Saccharomyces cerevisiae S288C: one gene and its partners. Each later gene encodes a partner of the first gene's protein in a complex. Each region holds a gene or a part of one and is shown on either strand. Other genes may lie near its edges. The genes, in order: NIP100, ARP1, ARP10 and JNM1.

Region 1 (6,044 bases):
TTATGCAAGGAAAACTTTTATGGCTAGTGTATTGCACCTACCGGCAATTCTAATCCTAGCCATTATACATAAAAAAGGCCGCTGGGATTGGATATATCCTGGTGAAGCAAAGCGACCACAGGAACGATTTTAGCATTAGTACAATGAGATAAAGAGACAACGCTTAAAGGGCAGTCATTAATCTTGTAAATAAATATTTAAACCCTTTTATTGGTTAAAAATAATGTACATACGCACATAATTTATTTTTAAAGAAAAGATTTTGTAATTTGAAGTCATCACGTTTGCCCACATCAATATCTGAATATTCTTTGAACTTTACTTTATGCTTTCATATATACAGGTCGAATATAACTTATTTACTACGTGAATAGTGAAGGGGATATACTGATTAAAAAAATCACACTAGAGAATCAAATATAAAAATAGAGTGCATACACTTGGTACATTTATTCTCTTTTTTGTTTTTCCAAAAATTCAAAAACCCTCGCCCCAATAGCTTCCATGTCCTCTTCAGTTAGTTTTGGTACTTCTCTCTCAGCCAACTCCTTTTTTTCTGCCAAATGGCTTTTTCTTACCTCTGTTAGGGGCATCTCAGGTGCTACTAGCTTAGCTATATCTTTCGCTGTCAAGGTACCCCTTTTGTACTTAGAATGAGGATTGCGAATACTTGGTATTGCCTTTTTTGGAATAGGGTTTCTCACTACGGAATCGACCCAAAATGTTTGTTCTCTAGCAATTACAGGATCGGTAGCCAAGTTCGTTTGCACATCAATTGGGTCTGGTTTAGGCCATGGAATGATCAAGTCTGGTTGACCCTTTACGCATCTATATGGCATTACCTTTTTGTAGTCTGCATCATAGTAGGAACCATTGAAGGAAACATCCCTTACTGCCACCGTTCTTGTCTTTCCTGGGGTCTTTTCATCGTCAATATCAGCAACTAGCCTTAAATCCTTTCCCAAAATTGAAACTGGAATTGTTATCATGTGAGATGTTTGGCCTTCAAGCCAGAATTGTTTAGGAACTGGAACAGTCTTTGTGGGCCCATTCTCATCTAATATGAATGAATTTGTTCTTTTATCGAAAGATTTAATTACAGCTATATTTCCTTTGGAAGCCCCGCTCATTACTACTACTCTGTCGCCAGGTATAAACTTCCATTCTTTTTCACTCTTGAAACTAGTTTTCTCATCTACTTCCTTTAAATCTGACTTCATGAACTCAGGCGTAGATTTTTTAATGAACTTTTCACTATGAGGAAGAAAGTTTTTGGGTCGATTCCCCAATCTTTTCATAACACGCGATCCAACGTTTGATAAATGTTGATAGCTTCCAGACATGATGGATTACAAATTTTGTTGCTGATAATGTTCTTTACGGTGGATTACTCTTATCAGGTAATCCTTAAGTAGCTGTTAAAGAGCAGTAGGTACTTTTGAATCTAACATGTCGTTATTTTTCATGTCGCTTTTCAACCGGGTATTTTACAATGCTTAACAAAAAATGCATATATGTTGAAAAGTCACTTATGTAAACGTACAGTTGTAAGGTGCTTTCTTTTTACTCTAACCTCCACACTGAGATTGTTGGCGTAACTGTAGAGAGTTACTCATATGCTGCTAGACTTTATGTTGTACTTTACTTTTGCAAAGTACATAATACTATTCTAGATTCGATCTCCATCAACCTCGCAGTACAGCCTTGGACAAATGCGCAATGCAGGTGTTCAAGTTGACACAAATATGCAGAAGATAAGCTTACAGGACACAGTTCTAGTCAACGAGATGAAGGGGCGGGTGAAATTCATTGGGGAAACTCAATTTGCAAAAGGCATATGGTACGGCATTGAACTAGATAAACCGTTAGGAAAGAATGATGGAAGCGCTAACGGTATTCGTTACTTTGATATCGACCTGAAGAAAGCTAATTCAAATGGTGGTTATTATGGTCTTTTCTGCAAGAAAGATACGTTGCAGTTTTATAAACCAGATGACGATGAGCATAGTTTGCTAAATGGTAATGCAGCGCAAGAAACAATTAAGAATCTACAAGTAAAATGTGAATCATTGGCGTCCAAATTAAATAAAATTAAAATAGAAAATCATGAGCTGAAAACTTCCGTTGAAAAGCTGAGTACTAATGAAACTGTTCTATTGTCTAAAATCTCAAGATTGGATAAACTAGTCAAAGAACTGAAAGTGGAAAATGGTAATATGAAAACTCATTTGGATAATTTCAATCACCTATTAGATGCTTCAGATAGTGTAATGGCACCGGATCTCGACAAAGGCACACTGTTAGAAAGGAGCCATCTTCTTCAGGGACTACTCGACCAAACAAAGTTGTCATATGATAAAGCTATGAAGGTGCAAGAGGACCTGCTCGAGGAGAATACTCAGTTATTAGAAGAAAATGCAGTATTATCTAAAAAAATATCGGATTTAGGTCTGCAATTGCAACAGACTAATAATACAATCGGCGACCTTGCCTTGCAGATTGAAGCTCAAAGTAAATCATCTAATATTGTTGATAAATTGACTAATGATAATATCCTACTCACAAGTAATATAAAGGCTTTAAACAATGAGTTGGAGGAACTACAGGCAAAAGAAAAATTGGATGAAAATTTAAGAATTACCTATGAGCAACTCGAGCAAGAACTGAGACTGCAATTAAGTAATTTGCAATCTGCATTGGAAAATGAAAAGGAGATAGCAGGCACATATATCGAAGAAAATTCAAGATTAAAAGCAACATTGGAATCTATTGAAGCCAAAACATCTCACAAATTTCAAAGTCTTGAACTAAAAGTGAACACTTTACAGGAGGAATTATATCAAAATAAATTGCTAAAGAAATTTTACCAAATATATGAGCCATTTGCACAACCACATTTGGCGGCTCTTTCCTCTCAATTGCAATATTTAGCCGAAGTAATCGAAAGTGAAAATTTTGGAAAGTTGGAGAATATTGAAATCCATATAATTCTAAAAGTGTTGAGCTCTATCAGTTATGCGCTTCATATTTACACCATAAAGAATACTCCCGATCACCTGGAAACGACATTACAATGTTTCAAAGTAAATATTGCTCCGATTTCGATGTGGCTAAGCGAGTTTTTGCAAAGGAAGTTTTCTTCTAAACAGGAAACCGCCTTTTCCATTTGTCAGTTTTTAGAAGATAATAAGTTTCTAGATAAGGATGTGACCTTGATACTAAAAATACTTCATCCGATATTGGAAACAACTGTTCCGAAGCTGTTGGCTTTTCTTAGAACGAACAGCAATTTCAATGACAATGATACCCTATGTCTTATTGGTTCCCTTTACGAGAGATCACTTTCACTTATTGCCAGAATAGATAAACTTATCGGAAAGGAAGAAATTTCGAAACAAGACAATAGGTTATTTTTATATCCTTCCTGTGATATAACCCTGTCCTCTATCTTAACGATACTTTTTTCAGATGCACTGTTTTTGCGACAAGATTACAAACGTATTTCTTCTTTGAAAAAACTAGAGGTATTTTTTCAAGGAATAGAAAGTCTCTTAGAAAACATAACTATATTTCCTGAGCAACCCAGTCAACAAACAAGTGATTCAGAAAGTCAATGTAATATTAAGGAGGGCAATTTTTCAAACTCGTTATTAAGCGATCGCTTGAATGAAGAGAACATTCGACTCAAAGAAGTACTGGTCCAAAAGGAAAATATGCTAACTGAATTGGAAACAAAAATTAAAATTATTATTGGGAGGGATTTAGAGAGGAAAACCCTTGAAGAGAATATCAAAACACTCAAAGTAGAGTTAAATAACAAAAATGAGGAAAATTGTGGCAAAACAGAAATTCTTAACAAGCTGAAAGAAGAAAATTTCAACCTAGTAAACCGTTTGAAGAATATGGAGCTCAAACTATATCAAATAAAGGATAATAATACGTTGAACAAAATTTATTTAGACAGAGAGAAAGTAGATAGAGTAAATTTAGTTTCGGAAATCATGGAATTGAGAGAAACCATAAGACGACAAATAAAAGAGCAGAAACGAGTGAGCATCGATTTCAGCTGGTTAGACGAGCTTCCAGCTGTGGAAAATAAGCAACCATTCAAAGAACATATCAACCACAGTTTGGACACCTTGGGGATAGAAATGTTCAACTTCGTGAGTACCTCACGGATTTTAGATTTAAAGCTTGATCAACCTTTGGCAGAAGATGAACTCTGGCATGAAAGAGATCATTCTTACATTTCGTATTTAAAGCGCAAGAGGAAAAATATACGACTCAAATCTCAAAATGTTGTTACATATTACAAATGACTGAGTGATTCTAGCAGGTCTATAACATTCAAATACAGTAAATAAATGGATACAACATTCCTTTGTTTTGTGTAAAGTTTAAGTTTCTCTTGCTTCCTTCGTCTCGTTAGACACTGTTTTCTTGGGCCATTTTGGAGCTAGATCGATTTCATCCCTGGGGTATAGCCACTCTAAGAGGAAAAAAAGCATGTACTCTACAATTCCACATAACAGATAAAGATGTTTAGCCCAGATTCCATCTCTTTTGTAAAGATTTGCTACCATTTTCATCCAATCTTTATCATCAGCGGAAGAAGTAGAAGATATATTAGTATATATCTCTACTGTCCTTTTGGCTACGTCCATCCAGTCGTACATTTTAGACACGCTATCATGAAAAGAGGAAGTGTCCAAAGCTTTACTTCTTATGATATTGATAGCTTTATTTGTTGCTTGAACAAGGTCAGAAACGGATGTCTGTTCTGCATAAACAGTCATCTCATTTGGTAACACTTCGGGAATTCCTCCGACTTGTGTCGTTACAATTAGCAAATTACAAGATGCGGCCTCAACTAGAATTGTACCAAATGCTTCTGTTAAACTAGCGTGTAAATATATGTCACCTTGACATAATACATCCCTGACTTTCTCATGTGGAACAGAGCCTAAGAGTTGCACACGTTTTTGTAGTCTATGACTTTCAATCATTTGTTGAAAATCTATGAACTTTGGACCATCGCCCGCTACTATAAATTCGACATCTTCATGTGAGGAACAAACTTTCGGAATTATGCGAGTAAGTAAATCGGACCCTTTGTTTGGAAAGAGCCTTCCGATGACCACGATCACTATCTTATCCCTACTTTGTTTTCTCTTGGTGCCACCAGTAGGATCCCTTGGTTTGAAATCTTCGCTCACCACTGCGTTGGGAATTACTGAGATTATATCAGGACTTAATTCTGTTCTAACAATCATATTTTCTTTGCATGTATTAGAAACACATATAACCCGATCTATGTTTGTCAAGGTAAATGTTAGCAACTTATTCACCCAAATCGACGTTAAGTTATTAAAACCGTAGAGTGAATGGTCCGTGAACACAGTTCTCAATCCCATAGTATTAGCATGAAGAATTCCCTCGTGAGCGAACGTGGAAGCGCTACCATGAGAATGAACAATTTGGATCTGCTCTCTGAGAAGAATATTCCTTATTATTGGAAATGTTGAAAAAACAGTGGGGAAAGTGGTTTCTCTGAAAATCACAAAAAATGGTACGTGATAGACCTTTAGACCGTTGGTAAGATGTCGTACGCCGACTCGATCTTTGTAAGCGTGAGTTATAATGACGACAGAATGGCCCAAATCGATTAGTTTCTGCGATAAATGATATATATGGAATTCGACTCCACCTAACTGTGGATAAAAAAAGTCGCACAGCATCCTATTTTCATTGTTATAACTCTCAACTTTACTGGTTAGTATCAACAACAAAAGAGATCTTCTTTAATGTATTTGGAACACATGCTGTGAGCTAGACATACGCTATATTGAAGCCCATTGTTTTATATAATAATGTTAGAGTTAGCTAAGCTGTAGTTTATAGTATCTCGTATTTTTGCATAAGTTTTTTGAGGCTATTACTGGCATCGATTATTTTTAAATCGTATCAATGAAATTTTCTAGCTCGACAGTCTCGGGTTGCAAACGAAAAACTTAAAATAGCAGAATGAGATTATTCAATGAAAA
Region 2 (4,553 bases), on another chromosome or scaffold:
TCCATGCCCCAAAGACAGTCATTGAGGCGTGCAATTAGCGAGGAGGTTGTCCCCATCAAATTTCCAAATAGCACAGTGGGTGAATCAGTTCATTCACCCTCTCCTATTGAGCATCTTTCCGTTGATGGCTGCGAGATTATGCTGCAATCACAAAATGCGGTTATGAAAGAGGAATTACGGAGTGTTGCGTCGAATTTGGTAGCCAATGAAAGGGATGAGGCATCTATTAGACCTAAACCTCAAAGCTCTTCGATATACCTATCAGGATTAGCTCCTAATGGGGAATCCGCCACAGATTTATCCCAAAGCAGTAGGTCGTTATGTCTCACAAACCGTGACGCTGAAATCAATGACGATGAAAGCGCTACTGAGACCGATGAGGACGAAAATGACGGTGAAACCGATGAATATGCTGGCGATGATACTAATGATGATACTGATGACAGTAATATTGGTTATGCTTATGGCAGTGAAAGTGATTATTCATGTTTAATTGAAGAACGAATAAGAAATCGAAGGCGAGCATCTTCTACTCTAAGTTGCTTCTCCAATATACCTTACGGAACGGATGATATTAAATGGAAACCAGCTATTAAGGAAATTTCAAGAAGGCGTTATTTGAGGGATTCTCTGAAGTGCATCAAACCATTTCTAGATAGTAACGACTGTTTGGGTAAGGTTATCTATATTCCAGTTTCGGGACCAACCTTTGAAACAAGTAATAAAATTCACTTTAGCAACCGCCAGAGCTTACAGAAGCAGAAGAATCATTTTTTAAAAGGCTTCATCGTGGGACCTACGGCGTTGATAGAACTTAATTGTAAAAATAAGAATGCAATTGTTGGAACAACAAAGGACGCTGAAGATCATGGGGAGGACGACGGTGACGGTGATGATGGTGAGGATGATGATGACGACGACGACGATGATGATGATGATGACGACGACGAAGACGACGACGATGATGATGATGATGATGATGACGACGACGATGACGATGATGATGGACAGATTACTGCATAAGCTGTGATGCAGTAATCTTGTTTTTGCAGAATTAATATCATGACTAAAAGTATATATATTATCATCGGATATATGCTACATGATGAGGAGTTTTTCTATTTCTTTTTTATTTCATTCTATACACTTTGGATCGTGTTTTTTCTTTTGCACTTGAGTTTCTTTTCAACATTATCATTCGGTATATTTCACGATTTTGACACCGATGTTTACATAAAAGTGGGTAATTATATTTTGCATTTTCTCGAATTGAGTAAAAATAGTAACCTTTTAAAGAATTCTTCAGAAATGTTAAAGCATTTCCGATTGGCATCATTGATGTATATGTACGTATATACTCAGATGATTTGCCCCTCGTTACTTGGCATCAGGAATTAGCAAGGGCTGTAAAAAATAAGTTTAAATATATATAAATGGTTGCGAACTAAGACAGTATTGTTTTCAACTATTACTTTGTCATTGACTAGTCTATACAAACTAATGATTTTCTACTAGGTCTTACTTCGATTTCTCGACACCGTACTCCAAGAGCTAAAGCTTTCAATACGTATGGATTGCTTCGTTGCTCAGAAAGGTTAACATTAATCATTTTAAGGTTTTTGTTTATAGACAGTACTTTATTTTCGCTTCATTTTTCCAGTTTATATTTCAATTTAACAAAGGCAATGCCTCTAATTTCAAACAAGCAACATAATACAGTATTTATTGATCAACGTTTGATTAGAAGTTGAATTTTGAATGGGTATCGTCTGGTAATTCCAAAGAATAAAAGAAATACCTGTTTTACCATGATAAACAGTGTTTATTATACCACGTTAAAAATCATTTCTTGAAGGTAACGCTTTCATCAACCTATAATAAGACTACAGAAAAAAGCTCATAAAAGAATGCTAAGTAGCATAATGTTCTGAACAAGAGCTCAAAGCAAAGGACACAGTACACCTGTGTGACGGTGAGTTTCCTATTGCCTTCTCTTTTTCCGTTTGTATTAATCTTTTCAAGAAAAAGTTCATTTCCAAAGTGGCCATTTTCGCGATGCACATCAATAATGATAAACACCTTTATTGAATAATAGCGAAGCAAATAGCAGATATTCCCAATAAAACAGCAAATTAATAAAAGGGCATAGACCAAGGAGTACATGCTAATGCTATACCACGAATTGAGGAATTAGAAAGAAAGTTAGCCAATGGACCAGCTAAGTGACAGCTATGCTTTGTACAATCAACCGGTAGTGATCGACAATGGTTCTGGGATCATAAAAGCAGGATTTAGTGGTGAGGAAAGGCCTAAAGCACTGGAATATTGTCTCGTAGGAAATACCAAATATGATAAAGTTATGCTCGAAGGTCTGCAAGGAGATACATTTATTGGAAACAATGCCCAAAAACTGCGTGGATTATTAAAATTACGATACCCCATAAAGCACGGCGTGGTGGAAGATTGGGATTCTATGGAACTAATATGGTCATATGTGTTAAATGAAGTCCTACAGTTGCAAAATATAGGTGAGCATCCTTTATTAATTACGGAAGCCCCGATGAATCCTTTGAAGAATAGAGAGCAGATGGCTCAAGTATTGTTCGAGACCTTTGACGTATCGGCTTTGTACGTTTCAAACCCTGCTGTTCTGTCATTATATGCTAGTGGGAGAACTACAGGTTGTGTAGTTGACTGTGGTGAAGGATACTGTAGCACTGTTCCCATATATGACGGCTTTGCATTACCTGCGTCTATGATGAGGATGGATATTGGAGGAGCAGATATCACAGAGCAGTTACAATTTCAACTACGGAAATCAGCTGGTGTTTCGTTGTTTTCCAGCAGTGAACGAGAGATTGTTCGCACGATGAAAGAGAAAGTTTGTTATTTGGCCAAGAATATTAAAAAGGAAGAGGAGAAATACTTACAAGGTACTCAAGATTTAATCTCGACATTCAAATTGCCCGACGGGAGGTGTATAGAGGTGGGGAATGATCGATATCGTGCTCCAGAAATATTATTTTCACCTCAAATCATCGGCTTAGGGTACGATGGATTATCTGATATGTGCATGCAATCTATTTGGAAAGTCGATCTGGATTTAAGGAAACCTTTACTGTCATCGATAATCCTAAGTGGCGGAACTACAACGCTTAAAGGCTTTGGAGACCGAATGCTATGGGATTTGGAGGCATTAACCAAAGGAACATCCAAGATAAAGATTATAGCCCCTTCAGAAAGAAAATATACTACATGGATTGGTGGTTCTATTTTAACGGGGTTATCTACCTTTCAAAGACTTTGGACCAAAAAGTCAGATTGGCTAGAGGACAGTACCCGTGTTTATTCGAACCTAATGTAAGAAACAGAGTCGTTAGATTTTTCAAGCATATTTGTTATAAATAGCCATTGATACGTTTATATTATTTTTACAAAAAAAGGTAATTAAACATGCATGAACAACAAAATTGATAGTAGAAGAGACGGCAACAAAGGTTTAAAACGAGAAAGGAAATTTAAAACAGTAGAAACCAAAAGTTGATATGCGGCTTCAGCCGTTCTGAACCTTCAAGATGGTGTTCGGGTGTGATTTATTTAAACACAGTAGTATCTGTCACCAAAGTCACCCAACCCTGGAACTAGATACTTGTTTTCATCTAGACCTCTGTCGAGGGCACCAGTAACAATTCTGACCTCTGGGAAGGCGGCATGGTATTTTTCAATCCCTTCCTTACTACAGATTAGGTTTAAGAAGTAAATTCTCTCTGGCTTAACACCTCTCTTAATCAAGACTTCTGTAGCCATGATAGCACTACCACCGGTGGCCAGCATTGGGTCTAATAGGAAGACATACCTTTCAGATATATCCTCTGGTAATTTTTCGTAGAATAACTTTGGTAAAGCAGTCTCCTCGTCCCTTTGAATTAAAATTTTACCGATACGCACAGACCTACAACAGTCTCTTAATCCTTGCTCCATCGATTCACCAGCTCTGACAATGGAAACACCACAGATTTTACCCATGAATGAGACACCTTCGAAGTTTTCGTTGGTGTCAGTTTCCACAATTTGCTTTTGCACAGGTAGATGGTTCAAACCTTCTTCAACCAACAATCTGATGATTCTATCGGAGTAGAAAATGAAATCAGGTCTAGTTGTATTCTTATTTCTGATGATGGTGTACAAACCCAGCAATTGGTTTGTTTGAGGTAGCAAGTAGACGTTCTTAAATGGTTCCGAAGACATTTTTTGCAGATTTCTAGGTTTGCTAACGAAAGACCCTTTGTTTGGATAATATATAAGATATGTAAGGTACAAGAATGGAGAAGCCAAAAAGAATAACGGGTTCATGGTTCAAGAAGAAATGAAGCTAGTATTGGAAGAGGATTCTTACCAATATATATATCTCTTTTGAGGCAGCTTTGAAAGAAGAAGTGAAAAAAAAAAAAATTTTGAAAAAAAAGACGGAAAGGGAAAAGTCCGCCGGAGATAATTACAACTGTCGATTTTTTATGCGATGAGATAAGCTTATAGAAAAACCGGCCTTTCTG
Region 3 (4,108 bases), on another chromosome or scaffold:
GCATTATGTTGTGTCGTCACTGGAGCGATTGGTTTTTTTAGTAGTATGTTTTTTATTAGGAAGATATACTCTGCCATTAAAGTTGAGTGATTTCGTTATTCTCTCCACTAAAGTAAAAGAAGTGAATACGTTAGTTTTATTTTTTTTTTTTTTTTTAATTTTTTGAGAAGTGTTTTACTTCGCAATGCATTTATATCCTATATGTCCTGGCAAACTTTTTGATAAATTGGAATGCAAGTTTTAACGCGTTTTTATGTAGCACTAATACACTGTATTGAAGATTTTTTTTTCTTTCACAATTTGGAAACGATTATATTGGATATATATTAGAAGTTTTCCTCGAGGATATAAGAAATCCGCAAAAGGGAATCAACAATTCTATATAACAACATTATTCTCTCTCCGTTTATATTTTATATTAAATTCATTATCTTATTAAATTATCAATTCTTGCACTTCAGCTTCCATTAAATCCGATAATTGTTATGAAGTCTTCTAACAACTCATTCGACATTAATAATAAAGAATATTATTCGATATATTTATTTATTTTTATTCCGGCAATAATAAATCTGAAAACGAGTTACTCTTTCAAATGACATGATAGTTATCAAATCCAAATTCTTTAGGAGAGTGTGTAATTAGGTGAAATATTAATGGTTAACTTTCTGTTGTATTACGGGCTCGAGTAATACCGGAGTGTCTTGACAATCCTAATATAAACAGTCTTAGGGAAGTAACCAGTTGTCAAAACAGTTTATCAGATTAATTCACGGAATGTTACTTATCTTATATATTATATAAAATATGAATCATACTAAGTGGTGGAAGCGCGGAATCTCGGATCTAAACTAATTGTTCAAGCATTTATACGTTTGGGTAGTTCAGCTAGGGAAGGCCGTGTTTTATCTCATGTTGTTCGTTTTGTTATAAGGTTGTTTCATATGTGTTTTATGAACGTTTAGGATGACGTATTGTCATACTGACATATCTCATTTTGAGATACAACACTTTCGATCCAAATTGGTCTCTTGGCCCAGTTGGTTAAGGCACCGTGCTAATAACGCGGGGATCAGCGGTTCGATCCCGCTAGAGACCATTTTTATTTTTTCTCCTCTATTGTTAAAAATAGCTCTTTACTATCATAAACTTTTACATCAAAAGCTCAATAAGGCTAATTGTTGTGGAAAGACGCAGTTTGGTGAAGAGAACACTTCCTGTTTTTGTTTTCTACATATACATAAAGCCTATTGTAAGCGCTTCACTCCAGTTCTGAAGTAATAATCAAACCAATCAGGAGCAATATGAGGATTGTTATAAAACTCATCTCTTTCTATTCCTACAATGTTGCTCCCCTTATAGTGCAGAAGTATTTTCGCGCATGCAGAACCAGCCTGCCAGTAATTTTTAGGAAACTGGATTTTGGACGTATCCATTTTTAACTTGAATAAATTCCTTATTACTGTTTCATACGCCTCTTCAATGTTTACTATAATGATATTTTCTCTCAGTGGCCTTCTCAAGTCGATAGGAAGTGACTCTACAATATTTTTGACAAGATTTATTACCGGGGTTTCATCTACTTCACAATTTTTAGAGTTGTATTCTTCGTCAAAAAATATTGGCATGTAGAGACTGCCCGGGAGAGGAATTCTTGACTCAACCTGTCTTTTGCCTCGTTTTGAGTATTTTATGAACTGTTGCAAAGGTCTAAGGTCGAAAATAGGTACGCATGTAGTATAATTGGTACCTATATCTATAACTATGGCATTCCTTGTATTACAGGATAAGCAGTGCACAATGGCCCTGGGGACAAACGAAACGTGAGCGCAGTCAAATTCCTTAAACAAGATGCTACAAATAATTCTTTTCTCTACTACAGAAATGAAGATATCTTCTAGTATCAACACTTGTACTTCTCGATTTCCCAAGATGTTGCAAATTTGGAAGTAATGTTCAAATATTTTTTTCAATTCTTCCCTATTTTTTTCATTAATACTACCTGTTTTCCAGGCGATAATTTCTTGTGGACACGCATCAGCACTTCTTCCAATTTCGATTCTGTTAGCTCCCAAATAGACTATCACAATAGTATTCGACATTTCCTCATAGGGTTTCCTGGGTAGATTTTTTTTATCATTTCACAGTGTCGAATATTGTAGTATTTGTACCTCTTTTGTTTATGTCTCTCGGCTACAATAGAAGTTCCGACAATTAGATTCTAACAAAAAAGAGAACTGTTTTTGAGGTCTTTATGCCCCCAAAACGAAGTTTATAATCAAACAACAGATTTACTTCATATCAAAATACCCATCACAAAGTACAACAATCTACCATGGGTGCCGTAATTTCTTTGCCAGTTAGCATGGCGGGCTCATTCGTGGCGTCCTGTTTTGGAGGTTGCTGCTCAAACTTGGTGACTAAGACTGCATCTTCCCTAGGATCTTCTTCTTTAGGGACAAGACTTCTGTACGCCGTTTGGCTTTTACTTAACTCATTGATATCATGGGTGTCCTATTCTGCGAACAAATCAATCCTATGGCCAGGGAAGACATGTACTGGGACTGGGGAATGTGGATTTTTTACAGTTCATAGGTTGAATTTTGCATTGGGATGCTTACATTTGATATTGGCGCTTGTACTAACGGGCGTAAAGTCGACTAATGACGTAAGAGCAGCATTACAGAATTCGTGGTGGAGTTTAAAATTTATACTGTATTTATGTCTCATTGTTTTGTCATTTGTCATCCCCAATGACTTTTATATTTTCTTTTCCAAGTGGGTGTCAGTCCCTAGTGGAGCAATTTTCATCCTGGTTGGGCTTATATTATTAGTAGACTTCGCTCATGAGTGGGCTGAAACGTGTATTAGTCACGTTGAGTCAGAAGATGAAGATTCCTCATTCTGGCAACGATTTTTGGTTTTAGGGACAACTTCAATGTATACCGCATCGATTATCATGACTGTTGTTATGTATGTTATGTTTTGTCATCAACAATGTAACATGAATCAAACAGCGGTAACAGTCAATTTAATATTAACTGTTATAACGCTTGTCTTATCGGTGAATCCTAAGATCCAAGAGGCCAACCCTAAAAGTGGGCTGGCCCAAAGTAGTATGGTTTCTGTTTACTGTACTTATTTGACAATGAGTGCCATGTCTTCCGAACCGGATGACAAAATGTGTAATCCGTTGGTTAGATCTAGTGGAACCCGTAAGTTTAGTATCATTTTGGGCTCTTTATTTACTTTTATTGCGATTGCTTACACCACAACTAGAGCCGCTGCTAATAGTGCTTTTCAAGGCACCAATACTAATGGTGCTATATATCTCGGGAATGATATCGAGTACGAAGGACTAGGTGGACAGACAAGAAATCAGTTGAGGTATGAAGCTATTAAACAAGCTGTAGAAGAAGGATCTTTACCGGAAAGTGCCTTATATGATACCGCTTGGTTAGGGACATCATCTCCTACAGGCGCAATGGATAACCAAAATGATGATGAAAGGACTGGAACCAAGTACAATTACACTCTGTTCCACGTTATATTCTTTCTGGCAACCCAGTGGATTGCAATTTTACTAACAATAAACGTTACCCAGGATGATGTAGGTGATTTTATACCCGTAGGAAGAACATATTTTTATTCTTGGGTAAAAATAGTTAGTGCATGGATATGTTATGCCCTTTACGGTTGGACAGTGGTAGCCCCAGCGATTATGCCCGATAGATTTGATTACGAGAATTACTATTAAATAGACTAACACAAAAAGATTTTCTTATAATGTATGTAACTTTTTTTTAAGTAGCCCCCAGTAGAAACACTAATTTTACTATACTCATGCACTAGTTTCAAGAAGATGAGTAAACCTCCCTCAAAAAAAAATGGATCTTAATTATCTAATTGAGATATCGCTTCTCGAGGATTATTTTAACTATCCTCTATTTATTTGAAATGCCAATTACAGTTATTATCGATCGACCGTTTTCGAAGGATCTCTTTTCTTCTTTTAAAGGTAGAAAACATTCTCTCAACCTTCTTTATGCGATATTCGGAGTTTGCGCCGTGCTTCAAAGATATGGTAAAACAAAATCATTGTGGCTAA
Region 4 (3,368 bases), on another chromosome or scaffold:
ACAGACAATCTTATTTTTCCAACGAAGAAGGTCATGTTCTGTGTGATGTTTTCGGTCAACCCATCACACAGGCAGATATATCGAATCCAACTAGGGCAAGAGACGAAAGACCTTTGGACACTATAAGAAGTTTCGAGTATGCTGTCTCCGGAGACCCGGTCTGGGCCCAACAGTTGGAGACTCCAACTTACGGGTTCCGCGTAAGACCTGATTTCCCTGTGTTTGGTGCTGCTGTGACTTACGATGCGAACGGTATGCCACAGCAAGTGGGTGGTGCTTCCAGTCAAATGTATGGTGAACAAGCAGTGTATCAGCCACAACAACACGTACAGACTGAGGAAAAGCAAAAGAAGAAGAAGAAGGGATTGTTTGGTAGAATGAAGAAGAAATAAGCGCTTGATACCCTTTAGAGACTTTATTTTTTTCTTTTTTATGATAATTTCTGTTTTCCGCTCTTATTTTGGATATTTCATATTTCATATTGTTATTATTACTATTATTATATATACATACACACACATATTTTCAATTTTTTTGTCATATGGAGACGAAAAAATGAAGAATGAAATTAAATTGGTTTATAAAATTATTTCTCCGCCTTTTATTTGCTATTTCTCTGTAGAGCTTCGTCTTCGAGGGTATCAATTTTACGCCTGATCTGCTCCATATTTTCGCGAATTTTAACCTCTTGTTCATCGAATTTTTTATCCAGCTCATTTAAAGCCTTTAGCCAAACTTTTCCTTGTTCTTGGATGCTGGTTATTTGTGAATCCAGCCCTTTCGTGGTTTCGTACACCTCGATCACCCTGTTGTTCATTTTATTGAGACTTTTCATCCTCTCCGCCAACAGTGGTAGTGAATCTTGATATTGCTTGAACATGGAATACATACTATTTATCTCCTTTACTTTGTTTTCGGGCATAACAAGCTTGCTCACGGTGTCATCTTTCAACCTCAAGTCCTGTTGTATTTTCTTGCCTAACAATGAGTTTTCAAATTCCTCGTTCAGTTCTACGAGTCTATCCCGGAACTTTTGCAGCTTTCCTTCCGCCTTATCATCGCCTTGTAAAAGTTGAATACTTCTATATAGTTCATTGACTTTACTATGAACCGATTTCCTATCTTCTTCTGCCTCCAAAGCTTCTGGTATGCCAACAAAACGTTCCATTAGGGATATTTTCTGATCTAACTTTTGCAATCTTTTGATATTACTCGTATCAAGAATTATGTTTGGCAATATGACGGTATCTTGGCCTTCATATGTTTCGAGAAGCTTCTTCCTCAAATTTGTCAATCTACTAGATGATTCCGTCGCCAATTTTGATTGAATTTCGCACAATTCCTTGATTTCAGTTTGCATTTCAGATGTTAAATTTTCTATTTTCAACTCCTCCAATTCTTCTCTTATTCTTTCTAATTTCTGTTGCCGACTTTCATCTTCTTCATCGTTACTCAACTTTCTCGCATCTGCACAGTCTGATTGGTTTTGTCTATGTATCTTGAAAAGCAACTGATCTCGAATAGCCCTTCTCAAACTCTCAACATCTCTCCCTGGTTCAACGATGAGCCCATCTTTTCTTGAAGATGCTTCTTCCTGCTCTTCTTGTTGTCCATCTTCCTTCACTTCATTTTCAAAAATTTCTTGAGATTCCTCATTGTCAATGCCAATCAAGCTATCATAATCCACATTGATGGCAGGATCACTTAAATCTATGACGTTCATCAACCAGTAGATTTCTTTATCTTTCTTAGCCTCATGACTTATCTGCTCTTCTTTTTTTTTTTGAAATGCATTGGCTCCCAAAAAAGTAATAGTACATCTATACTTGTAAACACTATTATTTGTGCTGGAAAGATGGCCCCTCAATTGGAGTCCTAACTTTGATTATACAAAAATGCCACTGAAACGCTCCTTAAAAGAATCAATCGAAAGATTATCTAGTTTTCAATCAAAATATAATATTTTCACTAGTATCAATCCATCTCCTTATTCAATCACAAATAAAAAAGGTACAAAAGAAACATTGACAGGTTGCGTTGCCAGTATCAAGGATAATATAGTTACAAAAGATTTTCCAACCACATGTGCCTCACATATACTTGAGAATTTCAAGTCTCCCTTCGATGCAACAGTAGTGAAACTATTAAAACAGGCAGGAGTGCATATCTTAGGCAAGACAAATTTAGATGAATTTGGAATGGGTTCTGGGGGAGTACATTCAATAAGAGGGCCCGTAATTAACCCTTTATATCCTCATGAGGACAAGAAGATCATGGGAGGTTCATCGTCTGGAGCCGCTGCAAGCGTTGCTTGCGATCTAGTCGATTTTGCCTTGGGAACAGATACTGGTGGCTCCGTTAGGCTCCCCGCATGCTATGGATCTGTTTTAGGATTCAAGCCGTCCTATGGACGGTTGTCAAGATTTGGCGTAATAGCGTATTCTCAATCTTTAGACACTGTTGGCATACTTAGCAAAAAGATAAACGTCTTGCGAAAAGTATTTCATACGCTCGATAAATATGACATGAAAGATCCCACTTCCTTAAGTGTGGAATTGCGTGAATTGATAGAAGGGAATAAAAAGGTTAGGAGACCTTTAAAGGTAGGAATTGTAAAGGAATTTAGCCATGAAAGTATGCCCATTGGGTTCCACAGATTATATTTATCCTTACTAGAAAAGCTGATAAATTTAGGGCTTGAAATATACCCTGTATCCATTCCATCTGTAAAAAACTGTTTACCGATTTATTATACGCTATCACCCGCTGAAGCGGCTTCCAATTTATCAAGGTATGATGGTATCAGATATGGATACAGAGATTCAGAACTCGATATAAAAGACGGTATTTTATTCGCACCTACTAGGTCCAAATTCGGAACAGAAGTTAAGAATAGAATCATTCTAGGTAATTATAATCTTTGTTCAGATGCATTTAAGAACAATTTTATTAAGGCAGAAAAGCTACGAGTTAATTTGATCGATGAATTTGACGGGATCTTCAGATTTCCAAATGTTTTAACTAATTCTAAGGGAAATCCAGACGGCCTAGATCTACTGATAGTTCCCACATCGTCCAAGCTTCCTGGATCCATAAGGGACTTCGAAGAAGAGGAAGCCAAATCTCCGGCTAACTCGTATATAAACGATGTCTTTACTGTCCCAATGTCATTGGCTGGACTACCAAGTTTATCAATGCCTTTAAAAGAGAAGACCCCGATTGGCTTACAGGTAGTAGGTCAATATGGTGATGATTCCACTGTGTTAGATTTTGTCGAGTCAATATCATAAATTTGTGAGGACAACGTTAATCATGTAAATATTATTATTTTTACTTTATACCTATAGAAAGTTCGAAAAAATTAATCT

The links.
Region 2: NIP100 (region 1) and ARP1 share a complex: the UniProt entries of both Saccharomyces cerevisiae proteins name them as parts of the dynactin complex.
Region 3: NIP100 (region 1) and ARP10 share a complex: the UniProt entries of both Saccharomyces cerevisiae proteins name them as parts of the dynactin complex.
Region 4: NIP100 (region 1) and JNM1 share a complex: the UniProt entries of both Saccharomyces cerevisiae proteins name them as parts of the dynactin complex.

Annotation. Positions count from the first base shown.
Region 1 is NC_001148.4:218,442-224,485, reverse strand, and holds NIP100 (Nip100p), read left to right. Parts: upstream 1-1,712; coding exon 1,713-4,319; downstream 4,320-6,044. Other genes in the region: COX10 (protoheme IX farnesyltransferase), read left to right, coding at 1-133; mitochondrial 54S ribosomal protein uL24m MRPL40, read right to left, coding at 450-1,343; phosphatidylinositol N-acetylglucosaminyltransferase SPT14, read right to left, coding at 4,398-5,739, 5,840-5,856. UniProt on the Saccharomyces cerevisiae protein: Motor-binding component of the dynactin complex which assists cytoplasmic dynein by increasing its processivity and by regulation of its cargo binding.
Region 2 is NC_001140.6:361,810-366,362, reverse strand, and holds ARP1 (actin-related protein 1), read left to right. Parts: upstream 1-2,209; coding exon 2,210-3,364; downstream 3,365-4,553. Other genes in the region: YHR131C (uncharacterized protein), read left to right, coding at 1-1,023; YHR130C (uncharacterized protein), read left to right, coding at 1,063-1,398; FUR1 (uracil phosphoribosyltransferase), read right to left, coding at 3,598-4,248. UniProt on the Saccharomyces cerevisiae protein: Core component of the dynactin complex which assists cytoplasmic dynein by increasing its processivity and by regulation of its cargo binding.
Region 3 is NC_001136.10:664,998-669,105, reverse strand, and holds ARP10 (Arp10p), read right to left. Parts: upstream 2,103-4,108; coding exon 1,248-2,102; downstream 1-1,247. Other genes in the region: TMN2 (Tmn2p), read left to right, coding at 1-90; TMS1 (Tms1p), read left to right, coding at 2,336-3,757. UniProt on the Saccharomyces cerevisiae protein: Pointed-end-associated component of the dynactin complex which assists cytoplasmic dynein by increasing its processivity and by regulation of its cargo binding.
Region 4 is NC_001145.3:855,321-858,688, reverse strand, and holds JNM1 (Jnm1p), read right to left. Parts: upstream 1,724-3,368; coding exon 602-1,723; downstream 1-601. Other genes in the region: GSR1 (Gsr1p), read left to right, coding at 1-392; glutamyl-tRNA(Gln) amidotransferase subunit HER2, read left to right, coding at 1,896-3,290. UniProt on the Saccharomyces cerevisiae protein: Component of the dynactin complex which assists cytoplasmic dynein by increasing its processivity and by regulation of its cargo binding.